3 linked regions of the Saccharomyces cerevisiae S288C genome follow. The main gene of each other region encodes a partner of the protein of the gene in region 3 in a complex. Each region holds a gene or a part of one and is shown on either strand. Other genes may lie near its edges. A codon is read from its position in the direction of its gene.

Evidence for each region. The genes of interacting proteins can lie anywhere in the genome.
Region 1: the proteins of CBF5 (region 3) and SHQ1 are in contact, whole or in part, in a crystal structure (PDB 3ZV0), measured with the Saccharomyces cerevisiae proteins. Residues at the interface, in NP_013276.1 of Saccharomyces cerevisiae: Ser20 (codon at 1,829), Glu21 (codon at 1,832), Trp22 (codon at 1,835), Pro23 (codon at 1,838), Leu24 (codon at 1,841), Lys27 (codon at 1,850), Leu49 (codon at 1,916), Lys50 (codon at 1,919), Arg51 (codon at 1,922), Asp52 (codon at 1,925), Ser274 (codon at 2,591), Asn277 (codon at 2,600), Ala278 (codon at 2,603), Tyr281 (codon at 2,612), Gly282 (codon at 2,615), Ala283 (codon at 2,618), Lys284 (codon at 2,621), Pro288 (codon at 2,633), Val336 (codon at 2,777), Lys337 (codon at 2,780), Arg338 (codon at 2,783), Cys339 (codon at 2,786), Arg343 (codon at 2,798), Asp344 (codon at 2,801), Pro347 (codon at 2,810), Arg348 (codon at 2,813), Arg349 (codon at 2,816), Trp350 (codon at 2,819), Leu352 (codon at 2,825), Gly353 (codon at 2,828); in NP_012162.3 of Saccharomyces cerevisiae: Ser181 (codon at 2,328), Val182 (codon at 2,331), Thr184 (codon at 2,337), Ser185 (codon at 2,340), Asn186 (codon at 2,343), Gly187 (codon at 2,346), Asp189 (codon at 2,352), Lys215 (codon at 2,430), Asp217 (codon at 2,436), Pro218 (codon at 2,439), Glu219 (codon at 2,442), Tyr220 (codon at 2,445), Val222 (codon at 2,451), Ser223 (codon at 2,454), Glu224 (codon at 2,457), Met226 (codon at 2,463), Thr227 (codon at 2,466), Glu237 (codon at 2,496), Ile238 (codon at 2,499), Asn239 (codon at 2,502), Thr319 (codon at 2,742), Thr321 (codon at 2,748), Thr322 (codon at 2,751), Glu323 (codon at 2,754), Trp326 (codon at 2,763), Tyr379 (codon at 2,922), Pro380 (codon at 2,925), Leu381 (codon at 2,928), Arg383 (codon at 2,934), Asp421 (codon at 3,048).
Region 2: the proteins of CBF5 (region 3) and NOP10 are in contact, whole or in part, in a crystal structure (PDB 3U28), measured with the Saccharomyces cerevisiae proteins. Residues at the interface, in NP_013276.1 of Saccharomyces cerevisiae: Asp65 (codon at 1,964), Lys66 (codon at 1,967), Pro67 (codon at 1,970), Ser68 (codon at 1,973), Trp78 (codon at 2,003), Ile82 (codon at 2,015), Thr99 (codon at 2,066), Val124 (codon at 2,141), Ile126 (codon at 2,147), Ile175 (codon at 2,294), Glu176 (codon at 2,297), Asp178 (codon at 2,303), Arg181 (codon at 2,312), Leu183 (codon at 2,318), Val185 (codon at 2,324), Gln214 (codon at 2,411), Glu215 (codon at 2,414), Leu216 (codon at 2,417), Arg217 (codon at 2,420), Val219 (codon at 2,426), Glu226 (codon at 2,447), Asn227 (codon at 2,450), Thr232 (codon at 2,465), Leu233 (codon at 2,468), His234 (codon at 2,471), Met237 (codon at 2,480), Asp238 (codon at 2,483), Trp241 (codon at 2,492), Tyr251 (codon at 2,522); in NP_058135.1 of Saccharomyces cerevisiae: Met1 (codon at 920), His2 (codon at 917), Leu3 (codon at 914), Gly11 (codon at 890), Lys12 (codon at 887), Arg13 (codon at 884), Tyr15 (codon at 878), Thr16 (codon at 875), Leu17 (codon at 872), Lys18 (codon at 869), Ala30 (codon at 833), His31 (codon at 830), Pro32 (codon at 827), Ala33 (codon at 824), Arg34 (codon at 821), Phe35 (codon at 818), Ser36 (codon at 815), Pro37 (codon at 812), Asp39 (codon at 806), Ser42 (codon at 797), Arg43 (codon at 794), Arg45 (codon at 788), Val46 (codon at 785).

What each region holds. Positions count from the first base shown.
Region 1 is NC_001141.2:169,239-173,292, reverse strand, and holds SHQ1 (Hsp90 cochaperone SHQ1), read left to right. Parts: upstream 1-1,787; coding exon 1,788-3,311; downstream 3,312-4,054. Other genes in the region: DPH1 (2-(3-amino-3-carboxypropyl)histidine synthase), read right to left, coding at 265-1,542; SLM1 (phosphatidylinositol 4,5-bisphosphate-binding protein), read left to right, coding at 3,652-4,054.
Region 2 is NC_001140.6:240,153-242,583, reverse strand, and holds NOP10 (snoRNP complex protein NOP10), read right to left. Parts: upstream 921-2,431; coding exon 744-920; downstream 1-743. Other genes in the region: oxysterol-binding protein related protein OSH3, read right to left, coding at 1-2; lanosterol synthase ERG7, read right to left, coding at 1,291-2,431.
Region 3 is NC_001144.5:504,363-508,307, forward strand, and holds CBF5 (pseudouridine synthase CBF5), read left to right. Parts: upstream 1-1,771; coding exon 1,772-3,223; downstream 3,224-3,945. Other genes in the region: isocitrate dehydrogenase (NADP(+)) IDP2, read left to right, coding at 229-1,467; RFX1 (Rfx1p), read right to left, coding at 3,435-3,945. UniProt on the Saccharomyces cerevisiae protein: Catalytic subunit of H/ACA small nucleolar ribonucleoprotein (H/ACA snoRNP) complex, which catalyzes pseudouridylation of rRNA. This involves the isomerization of uridine such that the ribose is subsequently attached to C5, instead of the normal N1.

The sequences.
Region 1 (4,054 bases), on a different chromosome or scaffold from region 3:
ACAAAAGTCCATGGAAATATGCTTGGCAAACTCAGTGAAAAATTTGACAATATCATTTGGGTTTGCCTGAGAAACCAGAATAAAAATAGGCTTGACCAGCAGTGATATCAAGTTAGAAGGCATTGTTTTGAATTTTAGACAATTTAGTTTCGCCTGCAAGCCGTCAAAAACGTTTAAACAATAGAAAAGATGCTCCGAAGAATATGATACTAACTATTTATACATATGTAACAGGAAGACAAGTGACAACAAAAACTATTTAAACTATTCAATCGCATGTTTCGGAGTTTCCCCACGCCCGTATCCTTTAGCTTCGTAATAATCCATTGGATAATATTTTTCGCTGAACATGACATCTTTCTTTAGTAAGACACTAGCCTCATATGGTGTTAATAGTGGTTTATTGAAGGCATAACCCCAATCGATGGACAGTCTAGGACATGCGACCTGAACAAAAACATCAATTTGATCGAACATTGCGAGCTTTTGGGGAAAAACTTCACTTAGAATAATTTTCACCACGGTTTTACCTGCTGCGATCAGGTTTTTTTCCAAGTTTTTTACAGTGTTTAAATTACCTTGTCTACCTAATGCACCTAAGATCAGACCAAAAACTTTACCCTTCCGAGCGACTTCAATGGCCTCTGCTCTAACTTCCACGAGTTGCTTTTGATCGTATCCTTCTCTAGTGAACTTTCTGTTGTATGGGTCATACTTGAATGCAGGAATTTCCGGATTATGTATCATTGCAGACTCCAAATGAAATCTACCATCACCGATGAATACCATGGCATCGTATTGTTCTTTATCTAATCTTTCAGAAGTACACCCCAATACTTCACCCCTCGATAGAGGCTTGATTTGTGGTGGAATAATATACAGCATGTGTTCTTCATCGTTAAGCAGTTTATCTCTGACGCTGTGTACCGCAGGATTAAACTGAATGGTACCAAATGTAGCGATTCTAGATCCCTTAGGAAAATTCTTCTGCAGCGTTTTGATAATATGATCTTCTTGAATATTTATAGTAACAAAGACATATAGTACTTTAATCTTTGTAACGTCAATAGGAACTAAACACGAATGAGCGTAATGCACAATAAAATCGCAATCCAATGCCCTAGCAGTAAAATCATCAATACAGCATGCACCATAAGACACATCCCCCATTACTAGAGTTTCAACACCACAGAACTGTTCCAAAATGTCACTTATAATCAATGAGTAAATCAGCAAACCTTCAGGCATCTGTAGGGCTATTCTTTTAGCATTATATTTCCTGATATTCCACACAGTTTTGTGGATTTCAAAGTTGTAGTTAGAGGGCAATAATTTGATGGCTTCATTCAACTCTTTGTCATTCAATATATCTTCTGGCACATGATTAACACTCCTACCTAGGGCGATTCTACTCTTTTGCTTGTGGATTATTTCGTTGCCATTTTCAGCCACTGTAGTTAATTTGTCATTATTACTGTTGCCAGATTTTCTCCCAATAAATCTTCTTCTTGGTTGTTTTTTAGATTCTGTAGAGCCACTCATTACGAAAAAGAAATGCTTCAAGCTATCCGATTATCCTTAAAATTCGCAGCAGATAGTTCATGAGATTTCACTTATTTTATTTGATTGTTATTACTACTACATGTTTTTTTTTTCATCACCATCGCATCGCAAAAATCAGCTGAAAAATTTTGAATACTAAATATTCAGTGTCAAGTGCTCAGAGTAATATTAAGATTCACAAAAGAAGAATACTTGCTATAATCTACCATCACTTCTGAACTATAATGATAACACCAAGATTCTCTATAACACAGGATGAGGAATTTATATTTCTCAAAATATTCATAAGTAATATTAGGTTCAGTGCAGTGGGTTTAGAGATAATCATCCAAGAAAATATGATCATTTTTCACTTATCCCCTTACTATTTAAGATTAAGATTTCCTCACGAATTAATCGATGATGAGAGGTCTACCGCTCAATACGATTCCAAAGATGAATGCATCAATGTAAAAGTAGCCAAACTGAATAAAAATGAATATTTCGAAGATTTGGACCTACCGACAAAGTTGTTGGCTAGGCAAGGCGATCTTGCAGGTGCCGATGCATTAACAGAAAATACTGATGCGAAAAAAACCCAAAAGCCCCTTATTCAAGAGGTCGAAACTGATGGCGTGTCGAATAATATTAAAGATGATGTGAAGACTATTGGTCAAATGGGAGAGGGGTTTAATTGGGAGATAGAGCAAAAGATGGATTCCAGCACCAATAATGGAATATTGAAGACAAAATATGGGTTTGATAACTTATATGATACAGTTATATCAGTGTCGACAAGCAACGGGAACGATATCAATGAATTAGACGATCCTGAACACACTGACGCGAACGATAGAGTTATTGAAAGGTTAAGAAAAGAAAATTTGAAGTTTGATCCTGAGTACTATGTTTCCGAGTATATGACACATAAATACGGTAACGAGGAAGACTTGGAAATTAACGGCATTAAAGAACTACTGAAGTTTACACCTTCGATCGTAAAGCAATACCTGCAATGGTACAAAGACAGTACGAACCCAAATCTGGTCATGCCAATTGAGTTTACTGACGAGGAACAAAAACAGATGCAGGACAATTTACCCAAGAAGTCTTATCTCGTGGAAGATATAAAACCACTTTATGTCACTATACTCAGCGTTCTTTTCAGTTATGTGTTTGAACAGATCGAAAACGAAGGTACTCATACCACAGAGAGTGCTTGGACCATGGGAAAATTGTGCCCTCAAATATCATTCTTAGACCAACAATTAAAACAGGTGAACGAACTGCAAGACGGTATGAAAGAAATATCAAAGGTTAATAAAGACAGCTCTCTCATCAAGATTGCAATCATTACAGGTATCAGGAGAGCCCTGAGTTATCCACTACATAGAAACTATGACCTAGCAATGAAAGCGTGGACATTCGTATATTATATTCTACGAGGTGGTAAGAGACTAGTCATAAGGGCGCTTTTGGACATTCATGAAACATTTCGTTTCCATGATGTTTACTACGTCTACGACAAAGTTCTCTTGGATGATCTGACTGCGTGGTTCATTTCTCAGGGTAGTGAGAACGTCATAAGAAGTCTGGCCTTGGAAATGAGAAAAGAGCAAGAGTCACTTTCCAAGCAGGATATTGAATTTGAATGTATTGCATCGTTCAACGAACAAACTGGCGAACCTGAGTGGGAGACACTAAATATAAGAGAGATGGAAATTTTGGCAGAGTCTGAATACCGAGAGCAGCAGCAGAACCCACAATGAAGATCATTTGAATGTTTAGCGTAGATTACTGCATTAGATAGAGTATATATTGATTAACGTTCCTGCAGGGGCCTAAAATTGGGTTACCCTTCTCTTCCCGCGGCTTTTCCCCTCATGGCATTACGTATTCCATCGAAGAAGGGAGAAGGCTTTCAAGCCTTGAAGAGTGACAGCGATCCAAGCTGGGGGGGGGAAAAACAACGAGGACATCTGTTGAGCCCTTGAATTGGTACAACCTATTAGAGTGTTCTTATATCTGCATTTGGTCATCTTCTTTTGAAGCTTTTTAAAGAAAAAAAGTAGTTAACAATAAAAGAATACAACATTAAAAGAAAAAAAAATGTCGAAAAACAACACAATGACCTCTGCGGTCTCTGATATGCTGTCACAGCAACAGCTAAATCTTCAGCACCTGCATAACTTGCAGCAGCATACGAGAAGTATGACTTCAGCAGATCATGCCAACGTTTTACAACAACAGCAACAACAACAACAACAACAACAGCAGCAGCAGCAGCAACAGCAGCAGAGCGCAAGCTTTCAAAATGGCAGTTTGACATCCGATATAAACCAACAAAGCTATTTGAATGGACAACCAGTTCCTTCCACTAGTAATTCAACGTTTCAAAACAATAGGACGCTGACGATGAATTCTGGAGGGTTGCAAGGTATCATAAGCAATGGTTCTCCTAATATCGACTCGAACACCAATGTAACCATTGCTGTCCCAGATCCCAATAATA
Region 2 (2,431 bases), on a different chromosome or scaffold from region 3:
ATAATTCGATTCGCAGGCTGCTATTCAAGCTCGTTTTACTACTCTCCAGCAAATAGGACGTCGAAACTTTCACGAGTTATACTCTCCCCCCAACAGGTTCACTAAAAAACCATGTCGTTGCTGGTTGTATGGTGTCAAACTGCTTTTTCCAAAGATTTGGTTATTTTTTTCGCCCTACCCTAAGCAATATCCGTATTAAAAGCTATGAGGCTTTTTGGTTGAATCAACAGTTGGAAACGCTTGATACAACCAAAATAAATATGTCATTACAATTTTGTGCTCCCGGAAACAAGGTTTTCCAGCACAGTTATTAATGTAGCGGTAGCCTATCTGTAAGCCGACTCTTTGGAGCAGTAAAGTGGAGCAGTAGAGTGGAGCCTTTAGATCTAGAGATGCGGCTTAATATCGACATCAAGTACCTTTTTTGGTTGCTACAGTTAAAGACTTTTCTTGTACGTTTTAACAACGTGAAGCACAACTGTAACTAATATCAATCTATTTTTCCTTATTACAGCTAAAAAGAAACTGGCGAGTCTTAAAAGAACTGGTTCTGGATAAGAAAACGGCCACTGCTCCTTCGAGATTAAAACATATAATCGATCAATTATAATTAGTATTTATCACCTAAAAACTTATCAAATTTATGTAGGTCTAGAAAATTGAAAATGAAACAAGAAAATTCACTGCATTTTCATACTAGCCAGAATCACGTACTATACAATATTCCCTTAAACTACCCAAATCTATTGGCCTGGTACCAAACCAAATCTCTTCTTCAAAGTTACTCTTTGTCTTGAATATTTGTCGTCTGGAGAAAATCTAGCTGGGTGAGCAGACTTCGTGATTTCACCACTTTCGGTGACCTTTTTCAATGTATAGATTCTCTTGCCGTCTGGGCCCAAAGTGTACATCAAATGCATCTTGTTCAAAAGGATTTGTTATGTATTGGTCTATTGAAAGTATTTCTCTTTTCCGTCAACTCACTAACATAAGCCACTTTATAGCTACCATAATGTAATAAAAGAGTGATGAGCATAACTTGAAATTTTTTTCTCCTTCCGCTTAGTTGAAAAAAGACGAAAAAAATAGTGAAGCCGTGCTAAAGGATAAATGGTATATTTGAAAGAACTCTACACTTAGCGTGTAATCACCATAACCAATAGTTAGCTGGAATTTCAAACACATGTTAATTTTTCACCTATTATTTTACTACTACATATACAAATAAATATACTAGTTTTGCACTAGTTTCTAATTGTTGCAGCCTCTAACAACACTTATAAATAAAACTTAAAGCGTATGTGTTTCATATGCCCTGCTGTACATACCTAATGCCTTAATAGGGAATAAGAATCGATAACTTGGGTATTCAATTGCACAAGAGTGGTTGAAAACACCTTCTACACTTTCAAATTTCCATTCCCCGGATTCTTCTTGTCTATTTTTTAAAAGGTCAATACCGCGGTCGATGACTTCTTTATTAGGATATTCAGCGAAAAGAAGTGCAATTAGCGCCCATGCGGTTTGAACGACTAGCGATTTTTCACTATCCACATAACTATGTAATTCACTGGACTTCATTGATTCCCCCCAACCGCCATCCTTCATCTGTTTACTGACCAAGAAGTCGCAACCTTTTCTTACCGTTGAGGAATTCTCATAGGTCTCCCCCACGGTGTGTAATGCCTCCAATGCAAACATACCGGCATATGTAAAACAAATACCCCAGCTTCCATACCAACTTCCATCTGGTAATTGAGATTTTTTTATGAATTCGATGGCGATTCTGATGCGTGTACGTATTTCCTCTTTCCTATAGTCGAAGTACTTGTGAAAATATGTCAACCCCAGAACGGATGAATCAGTACATTCCACGTATGGGTATTCTACCATTATGTTACCAAAAACTTCAGCAGGATTCAAGGTTTCCATTGCTAGTGGGGCCTTGATTTTTTCATAGGTTGCAAAGGAACCATATTCAAAAGATCCGATGTTTTGTAGGTTCAATAACACATCAATGCCTTCAAATAAACGTTCACTGCTAATCATATGGTGTACTTCACTAAAGACGGGAGAGTTTTTCACCATGATGATGGCTTTAATTGCTTCTGCAGTGCAATCTGCCACTGTATAGCCCTGTGTTTTTGTTGAGAAGCCCCAAGCCCCCTTTCTCTTATCCCTATAACTACCTGGAACGCACTCGGTGTCAAATTGAGCATGACACAAGAATTTATAGGCAGAGACAATTGTGTTATAGAATTCAGGTCTTTCTGCGAGGCCTGCGACGAAAAAGTATTGAATGGCAAACGCACAATCCCAGGTTTGCACACCATTTGTTCCCATAATGGTCATACCCTGTGGACCATGGAACAATGCATCCTTGAACCTATATTGGAGACGCTGGAACGCTTCCGAGTCTACCCCTTCTTCA
Region 3 (3,945 bases):
ATACCTTTCAGGGCTAGGAATAGTGGGGGTGGAGTATAATATCAAAAACCGGACTTAACATTATTGGTTCGGTTGGAATTGGCTATAGGCAAACTAGTCTCCGGCATGATATATAAATGACAGCCTGCAATTGTATGTTACTACACTCTTGACTTGTCGACTACAGTCGCTGCTCAGGCACGAGAATAGGAGGTAAGAAGGTAACGTACGTATATATATAAAATCGTAATGACAAAGATTAAGGTAGCTAACCCCATTGTGGAAATGGACGGCGATGAGCAAACAAGAATAATCTGGCATTTAATCAGGGACAAGTTAGTCTTGCCCTATCTTGACGTTGATTTGAAGTACTACGATCTTTCCGTGGAGTATCGTGACCAGACTAATGATCAAGTAACTGTGGATTCTGCCACCGCGACTTTAAAGTATGGAGTAGCTGTCAAATGCGCGACTATTACACCCGATGAGGCAAGGGTCGAGGAATTTCATTTGAAAAAGATGTGGAAATCTCCAAATGGTACTATTAGAAACATTTTGGGTGGTACAGTGTTCAGAGAACCTATTATTATCCCTAGAATTCCAAGGCTAGTTCCTCAATGGGAGAAGCCCATCATCATTGGGAGACACGCATTCGGCGATCAGTACAAAGCTACCGATGTAATAGTCCCTGAAGAAGGCGAGTTGAGGCTTGTTTATAAATCCAAGAGCGGAACTCATGATGTAGATCTGAAGGTATTTGACTACCCAGAACATGGTGGGGTTGCCATGATGATGTACAACACTACAGATTCGATCGAAGGGTTTGCGAAGGCCTCCTTTGAATTGGCCATTGAAAGGAAGTTACCATTATATTCCACTACTAAGAATACTATTTTGAAGAAGTATGATGGTAAATTCAAAGATGTTTTCGAAGCCATGTATGCTAGAAGTTATAAAGAGAAGTTTGAATCCCTTGGCATCTGGTACGAGCACCGTTTAATTGATGATATGGTGGCCCAAATGTTGAAATCTAAAGGTGGATACATAATTGCCATGAAAAATTACGACGGTGACGTAGAATCAGATATTGTTGCACAAGGATTTGGCTCCTTGGGGTTAATGACATCTGTGTTGATTACCCCGGACGGTAAAACCTTTGAAAGCGAAGCCGCCCACGGTACAGTAACAAGACATTTTAGACAGCATCAGCAAGGAAAGGAGACGTCAACAAATTCCATTGCATCAATTTTCGCGTGGACTAGAGGTATTATTCAAAGGGGTAAACTTGATAATACTCCAGATGTAGTTAAGTTCGGCCAAATATTGGAAAGCGCTACGGTAAATACAGTGCAAGAAGATGGAATCATGACTAAAGATTTGGCGCTCATTCTCGGTAAGTCTGAAAGATCCGCTTATGTCACTACCGAGGAGTTCATTGACGCGGTGGAATCTAGATTGAAAAAAGAGTTCGAGGCAGCTGCATTGTAAACTTACTCAATGACAGATTGATTTATTTATATTATATATTCCCTTTTTATCGAAAAACTTTTAGTATTTTCTACTCGTAACATATGATCTTCTGTTCTCACTGAAAATTTTTCTTTCTTCTTTTCCCTCTTCGCAAAAAGAAAATGCTGAAAAAATTTGAAAAATTTTCAAATGATGAGATGTTTAGCTTAGGAAAAATATAATGTAAAGATAGTTTTCAGAACATTTTTTATTGGTTTTTTTTTTTAAAGATTCATTATCATCTGGAGTTCGTTACAACCTACACAGAGGACCGATATACACAATGTCAAAGGAGGATTTCGTTATTAAGCCTGAAGCTGCAGGTGCTTCCACTGACACTAGTGAATGGCCATTACTTTTGAAGAATTTTGATAAGTTATTAGTCAGAAGTGGTCATTATACCCCTATCCCAGCTGGTAGTTCACCACTAAAGAGAGACCTGAAATCATATATCAGCTCTGGTGTCATTAATCTAGATAAACCTTCCAACCCATCATCGCACGAAGTTGTAGCTTGGATCAAAAGAATCTTACGTTGTGAGAAGACTGGTCACTCTGGTACATTGGATCCAAAAGTTACAGGTTGTTTGATTGTTTGTATTGACAGAGCTACCAGGTTGGTTAAGTCTCAACAAGGTGCTGGTAAGGAGTATGTGTGTATTGTCAGATTGCATGATGCTTTGAAGGATGAAAAGGATTTGGGCCGCTCACTAGAAAACTTGACCGGTGCGCTTTTCCAAAGACCTCCTTTAATCTCTGCTGTTAAGAGACAATTACGTGTTCGTACTATCTATGAGTCAAACTTGATTGAGTTCGATAACAAGAGAAACTTAGGTGTTTTCTGGGCTTCCTGTGAAGCTGGTACTTATATGCGTACTTTGTGTGTTCATTTAGGTATGCTATTAGGTGTTGGTGGTCACATGCAAGAATTGCGTCGTGTTAGATCCGGTGCTCTGTCTGAAAATGACAACATGGTCACTTTACATGATGTTATGGATGCCCAATGGGTTTACGACAATACAAGAGATGAATCTTACTTGAGATCCATTATTCAACCTTTAGAAACTCTATTGGTTGGTTACAAGAGAATTGTAGTGAAGGATTCTGCTGTCAATGCAGTATGTTATGGTGCAAAGTTGATGATCCCTGGTTTATTGCGTTACGAAGAAGGTATTGAGTTATATGACGAAATTGTCTTGATAACTACCAAGGGTGAAGCCATTGCCGTTGCCATCGCACAAATGTCAACCGTTGACTTAGCTTCCTGTGATCATGGTGTTGTTGCTAGTGTGAAGAGATGTATCATGGAAAGAGATTTATACCCAAGAAGATGGGGTTTGGGTCCAGTCGCACAAAAGAAGAAGCAAATGAAGGCAGACGGCAAATTGGATAAATACGGCCGTGTTAACGAAAACACCCCAGAACAATGGAAAAAAGAATATGTTCCATTAGACAATGCTGAACAGTCAACTTCTAGCTCTCAGGAAACTAAGGAAACTGAAGAAGAGCCTAAGAAAGCTAAAGAAGATTCTTTAATCAAAGAAGTCGAAACTGAGAAGGAAGAAGTGAAAGAGGATGACAGCAAAAAGGAAAAGAAAGAGAAGAAGGACAAGAAGGAAAAGAAGGAAAAGAAAGAAAAGAAGGACAAGAAGGAAAAGAAAGAGAAAAAGGAGAAGAAAAGAAAGTCTGAAGACGGTGATTCTGAGGAAAAGAAATCTAAGAAATCTAAGAAATGATTCTCATCACTCCATCTCATCCTATATATTTAACAGCTTTCTTTTTTTCAAAAAACTTTTTCTATTATTAGATTAGATTTTTTTTAGTGTGTATATTAATAACGTAAAATTTCTTTATCAACGACTTGTAGTATTCTTTTACTTTTATTTTTTTTACATATGCAACGTTATATTCTTTTTTAAATATCCCCATATACTAATGATAGAACTTTTAAACTTTTAGGCCATTGACGAATTTCATGACTTCAAAACAGTAGTTCAGCAATTGGCCCATGACATTATTTAGAAACAACCATGATAGCAAATTCTCATTTGATTTTAAGCTAATATCGCCGATTATTGCATTCCTGAATCTTGTGCTGCAATCAATTAATTTCAAGCACGAAAATTTGCTTTGTAGGGAAATAAAGGAACAAAAATCTTTAATCATTTCATTTAAGGACTTGCATTCGATAGACACAGAGGGATCATTGCTAACGCTCATAGAGGAATTTAAGAACTTTGTTACGAAAACTTGACAGAACCCTTGTAAATGTTGCATTATTGTGTTTGTCTCTGAATTTGTATCGTCTTCATTAATCATCATTTCCAAAATATCGTCTAAATTTACAATATTCTTCCAGTCATTATTCATGCCACTTTTAAATATAGGAAAACTTTTCAAGAAGTTTAGAATGAATTTTAATAACTTTATTAGTTTTTTCACTAGTTTGGTAAAATTA